2 linked regions of the Sus scrofa genome follow. The protein of the gene in region 1 interacts with the protein of each later gene in a pairwise test. Links are inferred from orthologs where the notes say so. Each region holds a gene or a part of one and is shown on either strand. Other genes may lie near its edges. The genes, in order: DNPEP and MPP1.

Evidence for each region.
Region 2: the proteins of DNPEP (region 1) and MPP1 interact in binary tests that used the Homo sapiens proteins (3 or more experiments, as listed by UniProt). The two-hybrid records come from large-scale screens. The link is inferred for Sus scrofa from reciprocal best matches to the Homo sapiens genes DNPEP and MPP1.

The regions. Positions count from the first base shown.
Region 1 is NC_010457.5:121,390,944-121,394,153, reverse strand, and holds the end of DNPEP (aspartyl aminopeptidase), read left to right. Parts: intron 1-1,735; coding exon 1,736-1,903; intron 1,904-2,268; coding exon 2,269-2,319; 3' UTR 2,320-2,408; downstream 2,409-3,210.
Region 2 is NC_010461.5:125,238,006-125,241,822, reverse strand, and holds part of MPP1 (55 kDa erythrocyte membrane protein), read left to right. Parts: intron 1-768; coding exon 769-912; intron 913-1,049; coding exon 1,050-1,128; intron 1,129-2,160; coding exon 2,161-2,246; intron 2,247-3,817. UniProt on the Homo sapiens protein: Essential regulator of neutrophil polarity. Regulates neutrophil polarization by regulating AKT1 phosphorylation through a mechanism that is independent of PIK3CG activity.

The sequences.
Region 1 (3,210 bases):
GTTCCCAGGTTGGGGGCTGAATCGAAGCTGCTGCTGCCAAGCTGCCAGCCTGTGCCGCAGCCACAGCAATGTGGAATATAAGCCATGTCTGTGACCTACACCAGTTCATGGCAGCACTGGATCCTTAACCTACTAGCAAGGCCAGGGATCGAACCTTCATCCTCATGGATACTAGTTGAATTTGTAACCTGCTGAGCCACAAAGGGAACTCCAATAACCAGTTTTTAAGATGAGGTGTTTTAATGGCTGTCTCAAACACTGACAGATAGGAGGGTTTTTCTTTTCCTTTTCTGATGATCATTATATAGAATCATAGATTTTCTTTTTCTTTTTGGTGGGGGTGGGTGGGGGCATGTCCCGGCAAGTGGAATTTCCCAGACCAGGGATCAAACCTGAGCCACAGCAGCAACCCCAGCTGCTACAGTGACCGTGCCAGATCCTTAACTTGCTGCACCACAGGGGAACTCCAGAATCATAGATTTTCATTGGTTCAGTTTTCATGAGTTCAGTGTGGATCTGGTCCACTGTAATCCTTTCCTCTCCTCAAATTGTCATGACTTTGGCTAGTGGGAGCCCTTTCCACTTAAGTCATGTGTCCTTTGCCATAACTCCGGAAGGTCGTCTTGCTTTTCGGCACAGCCAGAAATTGCAGGCTCGTCTTATTCATTTCTCCTCCCCGACTTGGTAGCTTTTGGTGGATGATGATGTTAGAGACGATGGTCTGGCACCGCGAATGTTCCTTGTTACTGGCAGGGAACACACGTGGGGTCATTTCTATGCATGTGGCTAACAAGAAATAGATGTATTTTAAGCGTCATGAGTTAATACTGTGAGTTTCACTTTTTTAAAAAAGAGCAGTTGTTACTTAGTTCATCTGGTTTTGTAATTCTCTCTTCCCTTACGCAGAAAATCTTGATGTCTGATACCATATTTGGATTTTATTTATTTTTTAACTTTTAGATGAAGAAATCGTTTTTGAGCGGGTGCATTTACAGAACAAGATGACATAAAGAATTAAACCCCTCTGTCCATTCTAGGGGGAAGGAGTTATTTGTGGGAGACATGATGATGGTAGCTGGGACTAGGGTCTTAGAGTGGTAGTAGTTCAGATGGAGAGAATGGGACCAATTCAGAATATACTGCCATTTAGTGTGGACGCTGATTTTATGCGTGTCCCATCCACTCTTCAAGGAGGTTGAAGTGAACAGTCTACCCGGCCCCTTTCAGCCCTGCAGTTATTTTTTATTGATGTACGTATTTATGTCTTTTCAGGGCTGCACTCAAGGCATATGGAGGTTCCCAGGCTAGGGGTCAAATCGGAGCTGCAGCTGCTGACCTGTACCACAGCCACAGCAACGTGGGGTCCCAGCCATGTCTGCAGCCTACACCACAGCTCACAGCAATGCTGGATCCTTAACCCACTGAGCGAGGCCAGGGATTGGACCCACGTCCTCATGGATGCTAGTCGGGTTTGTTAACCACTGAGCAATGGGAACTCCAACCCTGCCATTCTAAGATGACTTCTACCTCGGCCTTAATGAACATACACTTCAAAAAAAAAGACTTCTCTTATGGCGCAGCAGCAGACTAAGGATTTGGCATTTTCACTGTAGCAGCTTGGGTTGCTGCTGCTGTGTGGGTTCAGTCCCTGGCCCGGGAACTTCCATATGCCACAGGCACAGCCAAATAAACCCTTTCACTCATGTTGCTCATGAACCTTTGCTCCTCTCCCCAGGATCTCATGGTCCGGAATGACTCCCCCTGCGGGACCACCATTGGACCTATCTTGGCTTCTCGGCTAGGGCTGCGGGTGCTGGATTTAGGCAGCCCCCAGCTGGCCATGCACTCCATCCGGGAGACAGCCTGCACTTCTGGAGTGCTCCAGACCCTCACTCTCTTCAAGGTGACTCCCCGCCCCCCCATCACCATGGCAGCTGGGCTCCTTCCCCATCTAGTGCCTGGATTGGCTGCTGGGGCAACATCACCATCACTAAGCAGCTGGCCTACGGGATGGGGCTGGTTGTCTTGGTTCTACCATGTAGGAAAAAGAGGGTCCCTATTTTCCTCAAGGCTTAGGAGCCCTGCTCAGCCCCCAGAGGATGTTGAGGGGACAGAGAAGGGATGAGGCATGGGAAGATGGGGCACTTGTCCTGTGTGGGTGAAGCAGTCATGCCTTCCTCTCTTGCTGGGGCCTATGTTGGTATGAGTGGTGCGACGCCCCCAGCTGGTCTCCACTAATTCCAGAGGCCGTGTTCCCTTCTATTTTAGGGCTTCTTTGAGCTGTTCCCTTCTCTGAGCCGGAACCTCCTAGTGGATTGAGGCCTCTCGGAAAGACTTCTCTCGCACTTGAGGTGGGAAGTTCTCAGCTGAGCTGAAGCTGGATTATTAAAGTGGATTTTTCACTGAGACTCATTCTCTTGTGCTTATTTGGAGATTGGAGGGGTGGGGGTTCAGCCTGGCTTAACCCTCTGGAACCAGAACAGATGGGGAGTTGGGTCCCTGTCCAGGTGAAGGAGGCCGCAGCTCCTGGTCACTGGTGGAGGTCTGATTCTATTTATTTTATTTCATTTATTTTATTTTAATTTAATTTTATTCTTTTTAGGGCCACACCTGTGGCATATGGAAGTTGTGGGCTAGGAGTTGAAGAGCTGAAAAAAACCATGGTGGTTTTTTTCTAAGTAGTCGCCAGCCTACACCACAGCCACAGCAATGCCAGATCCAAGCTGCATCTGTGACCTACACTGCACCTTGCAGCAACACGGAATCCTTAACCTACAGATCATGTCCAGGGATTGAACCTGCATTTGTTAGGTTCTTAAGCCACTTAGCTGCAATGGAAACTCCAATGGATTTTTCTTTTTTTAATTAAAAAAAATTTTTTTTAATTACTTTTATTTTTAGAGCTGCATCCCCAGCAGATGGAGGTTCCCAGCTAGGGGTCCGATTGGAGCTACAGCTGCCAGCCTACACCACAGCCACCACAACTCCAGGACCCAAGCCACGTCTGTGATCTATACCACTGCTCACAGCAATGCCGGATCCTTAACCCACTGAGTGAGGCCAGGGATCGAACCCTCAACCTCATGGTTCCTAGTCGGATTCGTTTCTGCTGTGCCATGACGGGAACTCCTATTAGTGTTATTCTTGCTTCATAAAACAATTTTGGAAGTTCTCCTGTTTATTTATTTATGCTCTGAACAATTTACATAG
Region 2 (3,817 bases), on another chromosome or scaffold:
TCCTAGACCTTCTGTGCGGCCCTGAAAAACACGATGAGGAAGACCCAGGGAAGGGGGCTGCCCCATCCAGACCCCTCGTGGTCTCAGGCCTGGGATCAGGGTGCCTGGGCCTCAGGCTGAACGTGTGTTTCACCTCACGTGCGACATCACTCGCCTGCTTCCCGCTGGCAGCACTTTTTCCGGAGCCAATGGGCTCCTCGGGGGTCTTGATGGAGACGCTTCCGAGCTTGCGTCCGCCTCCTCGTGGCCCGGCATTCTGCTCCTGGAGCCGAGGGAGTTCTCTGTGCGTCCGGCCTCATTGTCTTTTCGGGAGAACTTTTCGTCCTTGGTCGTTGGTTTTCTGGCCCCGCCCACGGCATGTGCAGAACTTCCTGGGACTTTGTCGTTGGGATGAAATAATCCTTGCTTGCAGGCTGGTGCCTCGTCCACGAAATCGCTGCCTCTCTCAGGGCGGGTTCTCGATGCTCACACGTTCCAAAGCGGATGGGGGGGTTCACGGGTTCCGTTTCGTTGGCCGCCTTCTCCCAGGTGACGCAGCTGGTCCATGCTCGCTTCTCAGCCCTTGGTCCTTTGACCTGTCACGTTGGGAGCCGGGTTTGGAATATAAAACGACACTCTTTTGCCAGGGATCGCAGGCCCCGGCACTCTGTCCTCTGCCTCAGCGCCTTCAGGCTGCTAGTGAAGGCGTCCTTCTAGCTTTGCCGTTGTCATGATCAGGTGGCCTTGGGGTTTCCAAAGCGCCGCTTACTTCGTCGTTTGCCCTGACAGGCCCTGTCGCAGCAGGCCAGCGCCGTGGCCGAGGACATGTACACCAACGGCTCCGCCGCCCCAGGCAGCCCCGCGCAGGCCAAGGGGCAGGAGGTGCGGAAGGTGCGGCTCATCCAGTTTGAGAAGGTCACCGAGGAGCCCATGGTAAAGGCTGCCTGTCCCCGCCGGCCCGGCAGCGCCAACGCCCGCTCGAGTTGGGCCCCCCCCGGGGGTAGGAGGGGAATCTGTGCCCCAAGAAATCACCTGCGACAAAGCTCACGGTGCCCTCGTCTCTGTTTCAGGGCATCACGCTGAAGCTGAATGAGAAGCAGTCCTGCACGGTGGCCAGGATTCTCCACGGCGGCATGGTTCACAGACAAGGTGGCCTGGGCTGGGGGTCGTAGGTCACATGTCCCTTGGGGGTTGAGGGACATAGAGCTTAGAATCTTCCAGACCGGGAACATCTTTGTGTTTGTGCCAAGAGATGTTTTGGTGGCGTAAGAGCGGGCTCTTTAGCATAATTTTATGACAAGCTCTTCCTCTGACTTGCCCAGAGCCAGCGTCTCTCCCTCTGAGCATCCTGTACACGTGGTCACGGCAGTATTTTTCCACGTGGTTAACACTCGAGCCATTACTTTATGCAGCCCCTGCGTTCAACTTTGACTACATGACAATGAGGAAAACAGGCCATGTCTACCTCCTGGGGCCAGGAGTGAAACTGAGAAAATAGTAAAGAAGTAACTGACACTGACCGTTGTACCTCTTATTTTTTTGTCTTTTTGTCTTTTTAGGGCCGCACACGCGGCATATGGAGGTTCCCGGGCCAGGGGTGGAATTGGAGCCATAGCCACCAGCCTATGTCACAGCCACAGCAACGCGGGATCTGAGCCGCGTCTGCGACCTGCACCACAGCTCACGGCAACACCGGATCCTTCACCCACTGATGGAGGCCAGGGATCGAACCCGCAACCTCATGGTTCCTAGTCGGATGCGTTAACCATTGCGCCACGACGGGAACTCCCTGTTGTACTCTTTAATGTGAAGCTGCCATCAGCCATCAGATGCATGGTTTGGGACCCGCGCGTTGTTCTTTTGTCTAGGGTAGCACACGTGTTGACAGCCACTCTTCCGTGGCCCCTAGGCAGGAACTTCGGCAGTCGGTAGCATTCGGAGCTCTTGGATGAACAGCAGAGAAACATCGACCTTGCTAGTGTCTCTGCAGCCGGGCCACAGCCTCTGGACATCAGTAGGGCCTCTGGTGCAGGGAACTGAGGCCAAAGTGCTTTTATTCTGCTGTTGGGGTCCTGAGGCCAGGGAGGCTGGGTGTCACGTGGTGGTTGGATACCATGCTCCGAGCATCGCCGCCGCTTTTCTGTGCCGACTGCTACTTGAGCTTCTCTTCTTCTGCAACAGGTTCCCTCCACGTCGGGGATGAGATCCTAGAAATCAATGGCACCAATGTGACAGATCACTCGGTGGATCAGCTGCAGAAGGCGATGGTGCGTATCTTGACCTCACGAAGGGGCAGTCGACCTCATTTTTCTGTCAGTGTTTATACCTCGTTGCAGGGACTCTTACCACTGCTAATCTTGACCGTGTGCGAGAAGTGACAGCTCTCTGCTTTCATTCAGTAAACGTCTAAAGCGAGGCAAACAACCCAGAGTGTCTATCCGGAAAGAACATTGGGAGCTCCCGTCGTGGCTCAGCAGTGACCAACCTGACTGGCATCCATGAGGACGCAGGTTCAATACCCAGCCTCGCTCAGGGGGTTAAAGGATCCAGCATTGCCATGAGCTGTGGCGTAGGCCGGCAGCTGCAGCTCCGATTAGACCCCTAGCCTGGGAACCTCCATATGCCGTGGGTGCAGACCTAAAAAGGCAAAAAAAAAAAAAAAAAAATTGGGCGGGGTGTCACAACACCTCAGTCTTTAATGGCAGGTCAGTTAGCTTCTCTAAGTCATCTGTAAAATGAGGTTGGTAGTAATTGCCTTTTTTTTTTTTTTTTTTTTTTTTTGGCTTCTTAGGGGCTGCCTTTGTGGCATATGGAAGTTCTCAGGCTAGGCATCGAATCAGAGTGACAGCCACTGGCCTGCACCACAGCCACACCAGATCTGAACCACATATGCACCCTACACCACAGCTATGGCAACACCAGATCTTTAATTAAGCCACCGAGCAAGGCCAGGGATGGAACCTGCATCCTCATGGATCCTCGTCAGGTTCATAACCTGCTGAGCCACACCGGGAACTCCCAGTAGTTGCTCTTATGTAATCGATTGGTTATGAACAGTGAACGGGATATAATAGCTGAAAGTCGAATGTGCTTTTTCGATTCAGTTGATGATATTTGTCAGGCAGCGCCTATGAGCCCGGATCGTGCTTGGTGTCTGCCCCCAAATTGGACATGAATCTGATCCAACCGTTTTCTCGGTTCAGCTGATGATTTCTAGGACCTGTAGAGGGACAAGCATGTCCCTACCCCGTGCTGAAGTCTAGGGCCAACCGCCCAGTCCCTTCCACGCAACAAAAGACTAGAAAAGGAGGCAGCGTGGGGGGTACGGGCAGAGGAAGCGGCTTGCGAGGCCCGTCAGCCAGGCACACGGTGCGGCGCTTTGTTTGGATCCTGATGCAAAGACGGTGCCGAACTGCAGGCCCGAGACCCACGCGGTGGTCAGAGTTTCAGCCATGTCCTTGACCTTCTCCTTTGTAAACAGCCCCGCCAGTCACCTGTCCTCCCCACCCTCTGGAGCGGCCACAAACCCTGATTATAGATGTTCGTTCTGAGCCGATCCCTTCGTCCTGTGTAGACAATGTTTCAAATGTGTGAACATTCGCACTGTGTGCTTCTTTTTGATTTACGCAAATACAATCAACTGCCTGAAAGTTAATATGTGTCATGTGGCAAAAGACACCATAAACAATAGGCTGAGAAAAATATTAGCTGTGCATATAATAGGTAGATAGTTAATAACTCTAATTATTTTTGTCTTTTTAGGGCCGCACCCGCGGCATATGGCAGTTCCCAGGCTGGGGGTCAAATCAGAGCTAGAGTTGCCGGCCTACGCCAGAGC